2 linked regions of the Canis lupus familiaris genome follow. The protein of the gene in region 1 purifies or fractionates together with the protein of each later gene. This does not show direct contact. Links are inferred from orthologs where the notes say so. Each region holds a gene or a part of one and is shown in the gene's direction. Other genes may lie near its edges. The genes, in order: TGOLN2 and GALNT2.

What was found.
Region 2: the proteins of TGOLN2 (region 1) and GALNT2 purify together in Homo sapiens (affinity purification with mass spectrometry; 3 studies listed by BioGRID and IntAct, counting the BioPlex papers as one, with this or other methods). This does not show direct contact. The link is inferred for Canis lupus familiaris from reciprocal best matches to the Homo sapiens genes TGOLN2 and GALNT2.

Annotation. Positions count from the first base shown.
Region 1 is NC_049238.1:40,034,911-40,041,957, reverse strand, and holds the start of TGOLN2 (trans-Golgi network integral membrane protein 2), read left to right. Parts: upstream 1-2,575; 5' UTR 2,576-2,716; coding exon 2,717-2,762; intron 2,763-2,982; coding exon 2,983-4,172; intron 4,173-5,723; coding exon 5,724-5,807; intron 5,808-7,047. UniProt on the Homo sapiens protein: May be involved in regulating membrane traffic to and from trans-Golgi network.
Region 2 is NC_049225.1:9,431,889-9,438,137, reverse strand, and holds the end of GALNT2 (polypeptide N-acetylgalactosaminyltransferase 2), read left to right. Parts: intron 1-2,265; coding exon 2,266-2,421; 3' UTR 2,422-4,866; downstream 4,867-6,249. UniProt on the Homo sapiens protein: Catalyzes the initial reaction in O-linked oligosaccharide biosynthesis, the transfer of an N-acetyl-D-galactosamine residue to a serine or threonine residue on the protein receptor.

The DNA of each region.
Region 1 (7,047 bases):
AAGAATGGTACGTATGTTTTGTAACTGGCTTTATTTTCAGTTAATAATCTATCATATGCACATAAATGCCTATAAAGAAGGGAAAACCAACAAAATATTCATGACAATAGCTCTGGATTATAAGATATTTTTATTTTCTTACTTTCATTTATCTTTATATTTAAAAATCTCATATAATGTAATTAATTATATAATAATAACTTTGGGGAGTCTTAATTATATGCCAGATATACTGCATGATTTGGACACTACTCTCCTGCCTAGTAATATGGATGCCAGGTCAAGCTAAACAATTCCATTCCCTTCCTTACACACATGCCAAGCAAATATCCTGTCATGTTAGCCAAATATTTATTTAAGGGAGGTGGAGATAATTTTCTTTTAGAAACAGATTCATTTACCAGTTCACATCCTTTAGCCAGAGCAGAGTCACATTTCTGAAATAACTTCATAAAAAATTTCTCTGATTCTTTTTTTTTTTTTAACATTATTTGACAGAGAAAGAGCTCACGCACATGCACGCAGAGGGAAGGGGCAGAGGGAGAAAGAAGTTTGAGCAGACTACCTGCTGAGCATAGAGCCTGACTCTGAGCTGGATCCTAGGACCCTAAGATCACAACCTGAGCTGAAATCAAGAGTTGGTTGCTTAACCCACTGCACCACCCAGGGACCCCACTTCTATGTGATTCTTATTCTCTCCTCAATAATGAGAGTGTGCGTGAGATTTTCTTACAACAGAAGAACACTGGGAAGTATATTGAAGGGTTTGTAAATAACAAAGTACCTGGTCCTGAAAACATTCTATGCCATGTACCTGTTCCTTGAAATTCTGAAGAATTTCAACTGACTGGAACTGCATGACATGTAACCTAAATATTGTACTCAACAGACTACAGAGGAGTAGTATTTCCCTTGGTGGCTGTAGTCCTTTTTGGTGGGATTACATTTTGACCCGAGTTAACTGGAATATTTTCTGATGTAGTTTTCTGTCACACAAAGACTTATGTTCTGGACAACTCCCAGATCATTTGCTCCTAAATCTGGCTTTGCTCCAGACCCATCCTTTGCCATTTTCCTTATTCTCTGTTATCTAGCAATCTTGTTCTCATCTTTAGACTTCCACAAAATATTAGGCTCCCACCTGCTTCCAGGCCTTCGCACATGCTGAAGGGAGAACTCATCCTCTTCTCTTCAACTTCACCTGGGAGATATCTACACTCTTAAGTTAGGATCTATCATTTTTAAAACTACTCTCTACTAAGCACCTAACCTGGCAAATGATTATAAAACGATTTCAAGCAGCCATTAATGTATAAACATAACAGTACTTTAAACAGTATGATATGGGGATCCCTTGGTGGCTCAGCGGTTTAGCACCACCTCTGGCCCAGGGCATGATCCTGGAGACCCGGGATCAAGTCCCATATCAGGCTCCCTGCATGGACCTGCTTCTTCCTCTGCCTGTGTCTCAGCCTCTCTCTCTCTCTCTCTTTCGCTCTCTGTGTCTCTCATGAATAAATAAATAAAATCTTTTAAAAAAATAAAAAAAAAAACAGTATGATACAAAACTATTTACCCAATGATACAAATTTGGAGGAAAATGAATATGTATAGAAAAGAACAAAAAATACACCAATATAAGACGGAGGAAAAAATAAGTACATACGTAAGTGTTAAAAAAAAAAAAACACTAGAAAATAAAACACTACATAGAAACACAATAAACTAAGTGGTAACTGTAGAATGGTAGGGAGCAAGAACTTTCTCATGTATAGCTTTTTTTTACTGAACCATTAGAATGTACCAAACCAAATATATTAAAATGTTTGCAAGACAGGGACGCCTGGGTGGCTCAGCAATTGAGCGTCTGCCTTCAGCTCAGGGCTCAGGGCGTGATCCTGGGTTGAGGGATTGAGTCCCCATCGCGCTACCTGTGAGGAGCCTGCTTCTCCCTCTACCTATGTCTCTGCCCCCCTCTCTCTCTCTGTCTCTCGTGAACGAATAAAGTCTTTTTTCTTTTTTAATGTCTGCAAGGCAGAAAACACACTAAAACTTTAATAGTGATTATCCCGGAAGAATGGGACAAAGATTTTGTCTTCTATTTCTATAAATACGCTCACTAAATCTTCTATAATGACTGTGAAGAACTTTCATGACCAGAAAAAAGATGTACCTTTGGGGAGACCTCGGAGAGCAGTTTCCGCGGGGTCAGGAAAGAGAGGAACTGGACTGGGAAGGCTCCCGCTACAAAGGTGACGGGATCAGTTTCTGTTTCCAGATGGGAGAGACCTGAGCGCAACACGTTTGTGTGCTACGAGCAAAGAACCATGAGAAAAGAGAGGTTAGAAAGGTGAGCAGTCTGAAGCCCAGGCGCCGGGTCCCAGCGAGTGCAGTCCCCACGGGGCCATCCGCAGGCTAGGGAGCTCTGGCTCTGCCAAAATTGTCTCGGAAATACAAGGGCAAAGAAGGAAAAGGGGACTGACGCTCGTGGTGGACCTGGGAAAGGAAGAAGGTGTAAGCTGCCTGCGCCGAGGGACGCTGCGCCGGCCCCAGCGAGAGCAGAACCACCGTCCTCTCCCGCCCTTGCCGAGGCCCCTCCCCTCGCCTGGGCGTGCGGCGGAAGGACGAGCGCAGGAAGGGGCGGGGCTATGAGCGCCCAGAGTGCGCGCGCGGATGTCGCGAGAGCAGTAGAGAGCGGAAGAGTAGTAAGTGCAGGATGCGGTTCCTGATTGCGTTGGCCCTGCTGAGCCTCGCAGTGGCGGGTAAGACCCCACCCCCAATAATCCTACTATCATCCCTAGGTCCACCGTCCTCACCGCGGCCGGGTCGCTCTCTGAACCCGCTTCTTCCCTGCCGGAGCCACCCCTCCGCTTGCCATCACCCACCTCCCCCGTTTGCCTGTTGCCTCGGTCTCTTCTAGCTCTGAGGGCTCCCTTCTCCCGGATTTCCTCTCTTCAGAGCGAACTGGTTTCTCTATTTCAGTGGCCCCAACAGGAGAGCCTAGCGAGCTGCAGCCACAGCCCGGAGACAACGGCCCTAGCAAGAAGCCCAAGCTTGAGGCCACAGGAGTCGACCCTGACAAGCCCAAGCCTGAAGCCACAGGAGAGGACCCTGACAAGAAGCCCAAGCTTGAGGCCACAGGAGTCGACCCTGACAAGCCCAAGCCTGAAGCCACAGGAGAGGACCCTGACAAGAAGCCCAAGCTTGAGGCCACAGGAGTCGACCCTGACAAGCCCAAGCCTGAAGCCACAGGAGAGGACCCTGACAAGAAGCCCAAGCTTGAGGCCACAGGAGTCGACCCTGACAAGCCCAAGCCTGAAGCCACAGGAGAGGACCCTGACAAGAAGCCCAAGCTTGAGGCCACAGGAGTCGACCCTGACAAGCCCAAGCCTGAAGCCACAGGAGAGGACCCTGACAAGAAGCCCAAGCTTGAGGCCACAGGAGTCGACCCTGACAAGCCCAAACCTGAAGCCACAGGAGAGGACCCTGACAAGAAGCCCAAGCCTGAGGCCACAGGAAACGACCCTGACAAGCCCAAGCCACAGCTCACCAGAGATGACTCTGACAAGATCCCCAAGCCTCAGGCCATGGGAGACAACCCTGACAAGAAGCCCAAGCCACACTCTATGGGAGACGACCCTGACGATGAGAAGCCCAAGCCACAGGCCACAGGAGATGGCACTAGCAAGGTGAAGTCCCAGATGCAGTCCTTGAATGACCACTCCAACAAGCTGGTCTCTAACCCCTCTTCTGATAACAAGAAGCCCACCAAGCCTCACTTAAACATACCAGCCGACAAAGATCCCACTCTGAATGATTATAAAAATGAATCTGAGGAGAGAGTATTACTGGACTCTGACCCCACTTCACAGCAGGAGGGAGAAGGCAAGTCTATAGAGCTTACCGAAGATGTGGAACCCAAGAAGGCTGAGGAAGGGGATACGGAGCCTGAAGAAGGTTCACCACTCCAAGGAGAGAAAGAAATGCCTGGCCTTGCCTCCAGTGAGAACCGTGAAGGGACACTTTTGGATTCTGTGGGTAGGCAGAATGATGACCTTTATAAGGACAGTCTTGGAAGTGCTAGTGCAGAAAGCAGCCACTTCTTTGCTTATCTGGTGACTGCAGCCATTCTTGTTGCTGTCCTCTATATTGCCTATCACAATAAACGGAAGGTAAGTCAAGAACTGTCTTGAGGAATGAGATTTCCTCCACCTTGAAAGCTTGGTGTGTGGGCCAATATCTGTCATTCATCTGCCTGTGAGCACTGGAGATTTCAAGTCAAACTTCAGTTTTTCCTCAGATTCTGCTAGGTCTCTTTACTCTCATTTTATAAATCATTTTCTTTCATGTCCGATTCTTTTGAGTGCCCTCTGCTGCTGTGTTAGGTGCCAAATGAGGACATTTTTATGATCTGACCTGAATTGGGGTCTTCTCCCACAATCTTAAATTTAGATCATTTTACTGCCTCCGAGAATCTGAGTACCTGACAGTTTGTAAGTAGAGTACTTATCTTCCTATTTCCACTCTGAAGATAGTGCATCATTTCTAGTTTCCTTTCCCACACTTTTATCTTGCATCTGCAATGGCAGAAAGAGTGGTTACATAGTCTTTGACATCAGCAGCAGAGAGCCCAGGGACTATCTTCTACAATCGGTTGAGTTTCCGATTAGAAGAATGACCAAAAATTGCATGGATACAATCGTCTTTTAATGTTACAGCAGATTTGGTGTGGAGTAATATCTGTGTTGCTTAGCAACCACTCTGATGACAAATGATTGCATTTCTTATTGAGCTCTAAGAATTTATTTTTTTAAAGATTTTATTTATTCATGAGAGACACACACAGAGAGGCAGAGATACAGGCAAAGGGAAAAGCAGGCTCCATCCCTGGACTCCAGGATCACGCCCCAGGGTGAAGGCAGCACTAAACCGCTAAGCCACCCAGGGATCCCGCTAGCTCTAAGAATTTAGTAGTTTCTATAGCCTGGTTAAAATTGGAGAGTTCAGTTTATGATATCAGTATGCCTATGGCTATGAGGAATGAGGGAAGATATTTAGTAAAAATAGTTCTTTATTCTACATCCAAGTGCTCGTCCCACAGAGTAATCTTAGATGTAAAAGCAGTAAGGTTAAAATGAAGCAAGGTGTGGGGAGGAAAAGTACATTTGCAGATAAGAAATAATTATTGCTTGTGAGAGAAAAGGAATGTCTGATCCTAGAGCTGTGTGGGGCACAGCTGGCAGATCTTTGTGCTCTTGAGTAAATCATCCAGACTCCCACAGGCTAACGGCCAGAATAGTCTTCCTTCATCTGTCATTTCCTGTTTAGCAGTATAAAAGATTCTGATGTAACTGGAGGCCCCGTCCTCCTGAAAACTGTTATAATTTAAAGATGCCTCTTGTGAGTTTGCGGCTCTTTCACTGCCGGGGTCATTAACAAATGTAGTACCAGGGCAGCCCGGGTGGCTCAGCAGTTTAACACCGTCTTCAGCCCAGGGTGTGATCCTGGAGACCAGGATTGAGTCACACGTTGGGCTCCCTGCATGGAGCTTGCTTCTCCCTCTGCCTGCTTCTCCGCCCAACCCACCCCCTCCCTCTCATGAATAAATAAATAAAATCTAAAAAAAAAAAAAAAAAATGTACTACCAGGTGATGACCTCTGATTTCAGAGACTGAAATAAGCCATTGTAGAATCATCTGTTAATTTCTTTTTCCTTTCCCCAGATTATTGCTTTTGTCCTAGAAGGAAAAAGATCTAAAGTCACTCGGCGGCCAAAAGCCAGTGATTACCAGCGTTTGGACCAGAAGGTAAGGAAGGGAGCCCCAGGTGTGTGGGAGGGATATGCAGTCTCAGGTAGGCCCAGCAGTGCACTTGATTTGCACTGGTGGTGGCAGCTGATTCTGGGTGCCACTGCCATTGCCCTGCCCTTTGTGGACCACAAAGCAGAGACATCCATATGTATGCATGTCTGCAATATGAGAACTAGAAGAAGCCTTCATGTGTTCTACATCAGCTCCATCTCTTGACAGAGGAGGAAACTGAGGCCCAGAAACATGATTTTCCCCAAAGTTCCTCCTAAAAGTTTGTGCCAAAATCAAGACCTGATGGCAACTCCATAGACACCTATCCTATACTTTTTGCACTGAACCAGCACTTCACAAATTTTAGGAGACATGTTAATCACCCTGGGAATTGTGATGAAAAAGCAAAATCTGATTCATTACATATAGGGTGAAATCTGTGCTTCTACATCTCTTGGAAGTTTGTAGGTGACGCCAAATGCTGAGGAACCAGGCTTTAGGTAGCAAAGCATTAGACTACACTTCCTGAACACAAATGAGTCCAGAAACATAAAGGCCTCCAACTCCCCAGATTGGCTCTATCAAGTACTGTGGACTAGATTTCCTGAGTGGGGCCAACGCAGGCCTACCAGAAAGCAGAGCCTGCTTCCACCTCACAGTGCATGATCGGAGCAAGGCTCTCCCCAAAGGGCATCCTGTCTAAGTGGGAACAGGGTACTTCCACTGCCTTGCTGCCAGCATGCACCCCCTCCTTTTGCCTTCTGTGTAGGGACACTCAGGACATTGGTAAAAAGTAGTTGGTGACTCAACTGTGAATATTTCCAGGACTTCCTATAGGGAACACCGTTCATGTGTATAGCTCACACTGGCAAGAAATAAGCCACTCAGCTCAGAACACCTTTGCTAACTAGCCCAGTAGGTCAGCTTCACAATTTAGCCCTGGCCTAGTACCTTTCCCGATAATGGACTTCAAGGATTTATTTCCCTTTCACTTTTTTTCTAATTAAAAAAAATACACGTGTAAACAATTCAAAACAATGTAGAATCATACAAAACAGAAACTAAGATTCCCATATTCCTTTCACCAAGTGTGCATGTTTTAGTATGTTTGATTTCATAATTTTTTTTAATTTTTTTTTTTTTAAATTTAAGAGAGCAGGGGGCCGAGGGGGGCAGAGGGAGAGGGAGGCTCAGCAGGAAGCCTGACACGGGTCTTGATCCCAGAACCCTGGCAGACACTTAAAAG
Region 2 (6,249 bases), on another chromosome or scaffold:
CTGGCTTCTGATGGATGCTTAACATCTGGAGGAGTTCAGTAGGACCTCGCCTAATTTCAGAGCTAACAGCTGTTCCTGGTGCGACTCCCAAGTCTTGGAAAGCATAATGATGCCCCCAAGGCTCACACCATGGGCTGGAAATGTCCTGCAAACAGCTTGTCTGACCCCGAGATTTCACCCAGTGGAGAGCCGTGTGGGGGCTGTTTCGCTAGAGCCTCCATGTCCTAGAAATCTGACCCATGATTCTGGGCTGACGACACTGCCTTCCAGAGACAGAGCTGGAGTTGGGTTATTTTTTTTAAAGACCTCTCATTTAGCTGAAGCTTTGACACATGACAGGCACAGCCCCTCCAGAGAAGGGAATCAGATTCCATTCATTCCACATTCTTTGTCAAGCCTGATTTCTGGCCGCTCAGAGTGACACCGGGATGTTGGCAGCGCATACACACTTTACATGACAATGGAGGGATGATTGACAGCCAGGGAGCCAGAAAGGAGGCCATGATGGGCAGGTAGCTGTGACCTCCCCACTGCTCATCTGATTGCACTGAATTTCACTGTTGGCAGAAACTCCAGGTTAGAGATGGTGTGAGTATCATAGGGGCCTTGATACATCTTAGCATCCTCTTCTTGTGCACAAGCCAGTCCTGGAGGTGCTGGGTTCCTGTCTGCCTCGCTCTACCTCTTTCCCCACCTCATCCATTTGCCCTCTGAGAGGAGGCTCCTCCACTAATTTTATCTTGAAACTACACCGTCTTGCCAGTTGGGCTATTTGGTTTCCAGGCACGTCTGTGTGTTCGTGTTGTGTGTGCATTTGCAGAGTCAGAGGGGAAGGGGAGGCAGGAGGAAGAGAATTCAATTCCACGGTGTCAAAAGGATTTGCAAAAATACGGAAAGGAGCTTTAGTGCACACAGCGTAAAAAATTAATTAGAATCACAGACTATATTAATGAAGGGAGAGCTTTTGGGGGAAAAAAAGTGTGATCGTTTTTTCTTTTAAAGAACAAACATTAGAAATTTTTACGTAGGGGTAAACAACAAGGTGAGGGGACCTCAGATTTCTTTTAGGCTAGCCTGTGGGCTGTTTTCTTTCTTGTTTGGTTGGTTGATTAGTTGATTGGTGAGTTGGCTGGTTGGTTGACTGGTTGAGTTTGGTTAGCTGGTTGTTTGAGGTTAGTGGGTTGGTCTTGGTGGAGGGAGGATGTACACACTCAAATAAGAAGATGCTACACCCTGTGCTTTACAAGTATCACATTTGAGGGGCACCTGGGTGGCTCAGTGGTTGAGCGTCTGCCTTCAGCTCAGGTTGTGATCCTGGGGTCCTGAGATAGTGTCCCGCATTGGGCTCCCCACAGGGAGCCTGCTTCTCCCTCTGCCTGTGTTTCTGCCTCTCTCTGTGTGTCTCTCATGAATAAATAAATAAAATATTTAAAAAGGAAAAAAAAGAAAGAAAAAAAAAAAAGCATGCAAGTGTCACATTTGGAACTCAGCAAGTATTGCTTGGTCCCTGCCATGCAGAGCACTGGGGGCCCTTGGAGTGGCTGAGACAGGTTTGTCACACCCCCATTGAAGAGCTCACAGACTAGTAGAGAAAACAGACATTATTAGAAACGGGTCCTTCAGCATGACATCCTGTCCACTCAAGCATCTCGTACCCATTCCCCTGCTTTAATTGCGCATAAGGCCCTCAGTGGGAGCATGGAGGTGCCCAGGCCACGGCCTCTGGGCAGGGCTACCTTCCGTAGCCAGGGGTGGGATTGGGGTCCTCTTTCTGGCTCAGCTTCTTGGGGCTCCTTCTTTATGGTGAAATATCCTCAGAGGAGGCCTTCTTGTGGATGAATGCAAATTCCCTACTGGAAGCTCCCTACCTCAGGTCCTTGCGTTAATCACTCAGAATGGCCAGGTGTCCAGAGCACTGGTCCTTGGCTGCGGGGACAGCCAGGGAAGGGGGGTGGTGGGGTGGGAGAAGCCATCCTCAGCAGGCCCAGCACAGAGGTTTTGAGTTGCAGACCAAGGCAGAGAGCGTAGGTTTCCTTCCTGGATGCTGAACCACCCCTGGGCTGCTTTGTCTTGGGACAGTTGGTAATTCCTCCATTATGATCAGAGATTCCACCCCCACCTCACCCCCAAAAAAATACTTGGATTTTTTTGTTTGTCTGTCTGTAACGTAGCTAGAAGACCCTGCAAACGATGTGTTTCGTGTGGGCTGTTTGGTGTTTGGTGTGGGCTCTGATCGTAAGGCACTGACTGTCCTGTCTCCTGCAGAAATGGGAGCAGATCGAGGGCAACTCCAAGCTGCGGCACGTGGGCAGCAACCTGTGCCTGGACAGCCGCGCGGCCAAGAACGGGGGCCTGAGCGTGGAGGTGTGCGGCCCCGCCCTGTCCCAGCAGTGGAAGTTCACGCTCAACCTGCAGCCCTAGGAGCGCCCCGAGGCCGAGCTGGCCCGGCGCCCACAGCAGCAGGCCGAGTGGGGTGATCACCTTATTGATTATGTTTCTTGAACTTTCTGCGAAACTATATACCTCAGTATTCCATCATGGTCTGAAAGTCGGAGAACTTGCACGAGGCCCAGGGCCCGGGTGGACACCGCGCTCCTCGTCCCGTGGGAGGCAGCGAGGGCCGCCGCCGCCGCCACCGAAGCCCCAGCGATCCCTGGGAGGGCCCGAGGAGCCGCCGAACACGAACACGTACCGGCGGGGGCAGGGGGGCAGGGGCGGGGAGGGGGCAGGGAGTGTAGTTGCGACGTCACCGCGAGGAGAACTCTTGAAATCTCCATTTTCGATCCCATCGAAATCCCATCTGGTTTCCACGACGCCGAACCGTGTCATTTTGCAGATTTCTGTTCTTCCCCCGTCCCGCTCCTCCGTCCCCGCTGTCTTCCCAGCACAGCCCCCTCTTCCACGTGATGTACTTGCTCTGTTTGAATATGAACTTTTCTATGGTGGGACACTAAGTATAAATATATATAAGGAAAGAATGTACGGTCAGTTCCTTATGGTTTCTGTAGGTTGTCCTCATCGTGTCAGTTCCCCACAAAGCAGTTCACAGCCGGAAGGACGGGGACCGGGCCCTCCCCCGGGGAGGAGGTGGCCTCGTGGCCCCTGGGAGCCCCATCAGTGAGCAGGTGCTGCGGGGGCCCCTGGGGGCTTCAGCTTGGGAGTCGCTGCTAAGTGTCGGAATCCATTGTTGTGCCCTCAGTATCTGTAAACCTGGATGGGTTACTTATTTTGACAAACATTACTTTGGGTCTTTTAAAATTAGATTTTTTTTCTCTTAGGGAAAAAGCAAAAAAACAAGAACCCAGCCCCACAGCTTCCAATAGGTGAGGGTAGGAAGCTGTCCTAGACGGGCATCGGGCTAATCGTGAGTGTCCCATGAGCTGGCAAGACGGCCTGAATCTGGCCTGCCCACACTGTCCCTCCCAGACCTGTGTGCCTGCTTTTGGTCATGGGGCCCCGGAGTTAGGAGAGGGGGACACCAGACGATGCCTAATCAGTTGACGTGGAGGATTCCAGGCACAAAACAGGAGGCTTGTGCTTTAGGAAGCAGGGGTCCGTATAAACCACAAGACAGTTAGGAACTAAAAGCTGTAGCAGGAAGGGATGCCCAGGAAGGTGCCTGCAGAGCCCCCTTGGCCCCCTACAGAATGGCTCCCTCCTGCCTTCTCCCCTCACTGCCTTCACCCACCCCTCCCGCACGTATGCCCAGCATCAGAGAGGCCACCCCGGGACCACCCACAGCTGCTGCGTGGTGGGGCATGCGTCAGACATGCACATCCTCAGGCCCCTCTGGGGAGGGCCTGGAGGTCACAGAGTGAGAAGTGGCCCTAGAAGATTCTGCTGGGTTGACACTCTGCAAAGTGCCACTCTCTTCCCTGTCCCTTTCTTCTAGGAAAGGGGACACTATTGGTCTTTCTTCCTCCACTGCAAAAGCCCCATGTGTTTGCCCTGGGACACTGGGCTTAGGTACAGAGGCGTGGCTGGGCCACCATCCTGCGTCTTCCTGCCCTCTGTCAAGCAACCAGATGTGCTCACAATGCACAGGGAAGCCACAGATGGCTGACCTCTGCACTGTCTTCAGAGGCTGTCGGGACTGCAGGTAGGCCCTTGGGGACAGCGCCAGCTCCCTGTGCGAGGCTGCTGAGGGCAGGTGGGACGGGAACCAGTCTCGGTACTGGTGATTCTGCCCCAGCACCTGGGTTCCATCATCGGACCCTGTCACCTGTGAGCTCCTGCAGGCATTAGCAAAAAATACCCGTTGCTAGCAAACAAATCTGGCTTTGATGTAAAACCAATTCGAGTCAGGTTGTTGATGAATCCTTCCCCCACACGCCCCCACCCCACCCAGAACTCTCACCGAGCTTGTACCATCAGGATCCCCCCACCCCCCCTGTTCTGGGGCTGTTCCCCGTCCCTGAGCGGGTGGGGGTGGCAGAGGTGGCCGGCCGTGCGGGCCTCGTGAGTAGAGGTGGGCCGGGAGGGCTCCCTGGAGGTGGGCTATGTTTACAAGACAACAGTGTGCCAAAGTGACTTACTGTGGTTGCATTATTTCTTAGTCATCGGGACGATCCCACCCTCTCACTCCCGTTTTTACAAATACAGATTCTTTCCCAAGAGCCCTTTGAGCAAAGCGTGGCGAAGTCAGTCCTCTTCTCTCTGATGGTCTTTCTTATGTCTTCATAAAAGCTAAAATGATGGTATCTGTGAGTATGTTTTGCAAATTCAAAATATAGTTTGGTAATTTTTTTTCCAGTTGATTTTTAAAAAAGAACTGCTGTACAGAGCTTGTACTTTGTCCATTTTATAGATGGAAACCATCCTTGAAAATTGTTTAACTTAAATAAAGAGAAGATACTTTATAGATAACGCTCTCTGGCGGTGGCTGCGGTCATTCTTGGGCTTTACTGGAGGGGGGTGACTCATGTCTGAGAAACGGCCTGTCTTCTTTGGGGACCCTGCTCAATGACCATTTCTTAGCACACTTTTAAAAGCATTTGCTTAGTACTGCTGCGCCCTTGTGGTGTTTATTCTTATTTGTAGTAATAACCATTATCGTCGGTGGAGTGTTTATGATGTGCCAGGCACTGAGCCAAGCCCTGGGATTCGTTCTGTTGTCCTGCTCGCGGTAACCTGAGAGAAGATGTGATGGGGTGCCTTTCACAGCTGGCCTGAGAGGCTGTGGCTTGAAGCCCTTAACCTCAAGAGCAGGGGCTAACCTGCTCAAGGTCACACCACTCCCGAGTGCTCACCTGGAGTCAGTCCTGGGCACTCAGAGCCTTGCACACCGAATTGGGGTGGGGCGAGGGGGCAAACATTTTCACAGTTTTTATAGTATTTAAAACCCACAGGCGGGCAGCCCAGGTGGCTCAGCAGTTTAGGGCCGCCTTCAGCCCAGGGCCTGATCCTGGAGACCCGGGATCGAGTCCCACATCGGGCTCCCTGCATGGAGCCTGCTTCTCCCTCTGCCTGTGTCTCTGCCTCTCTCTCTTTCAAGAATAAATAAATAAAATCTTTAAAAAATAAAAAATAAATAAAACCCACAGGCTTGTTTACCAGTTCTCTGGGGCTCTCCGGGGCCATCTGAAGCTGCCTGAGACCCTTCCCCCTTATTCTCAGCCTTTGAAAATACCTACCTTTGAAATACCCCACAGGTACATCACAAAAACACTACAATGGCCTGTTCTTGGATGGGGACTGGGTGCTGAGAGGAGCACACCGGAAAGGCTGGCCCAGATGAGTTTTTCTTAATGTTCCAGAGACCACATTTCTGCGTCCTCTTTCCCCATTATCTGAGACAACCAAAAACTCAGTTTTCCTACCATCTGAGAAACAAAGATCTTAGCATAATTGTGCAGTGTCCCTCAGAGTCCTAGGAGTGTGTGTGTGTGTGTGTGTGTGTGTGTGTGTGTGAGGTTCCTGCTTTGGCATCAGGGAAAAGTTTATTCATTCAGTATTTGTTGAGAAACTCTGTATTGCCCTGACAGTCCTGAAGACTTAGGAGGGGAGGGAATGTTCCATGCCAAGCAAGAAGACAGGGTGCTCTGCAGGCTCTGAGTGGGGGCTTTGCAGAGACGAGCCTGGGTAGTAGAGTCAGGTGTGGGCTCTGGAATGCTCTGGAAGGAGTTTCAGCTGATACAGGGGGAAGGGAGCTCTGTGAGCCCTGGACTGGAGCTGGAGAGGGTCAGATGTGCAACATTGATTATAACAAAATATGTAACCTGACTCAGCTGTTTGATTCTACAGTACATT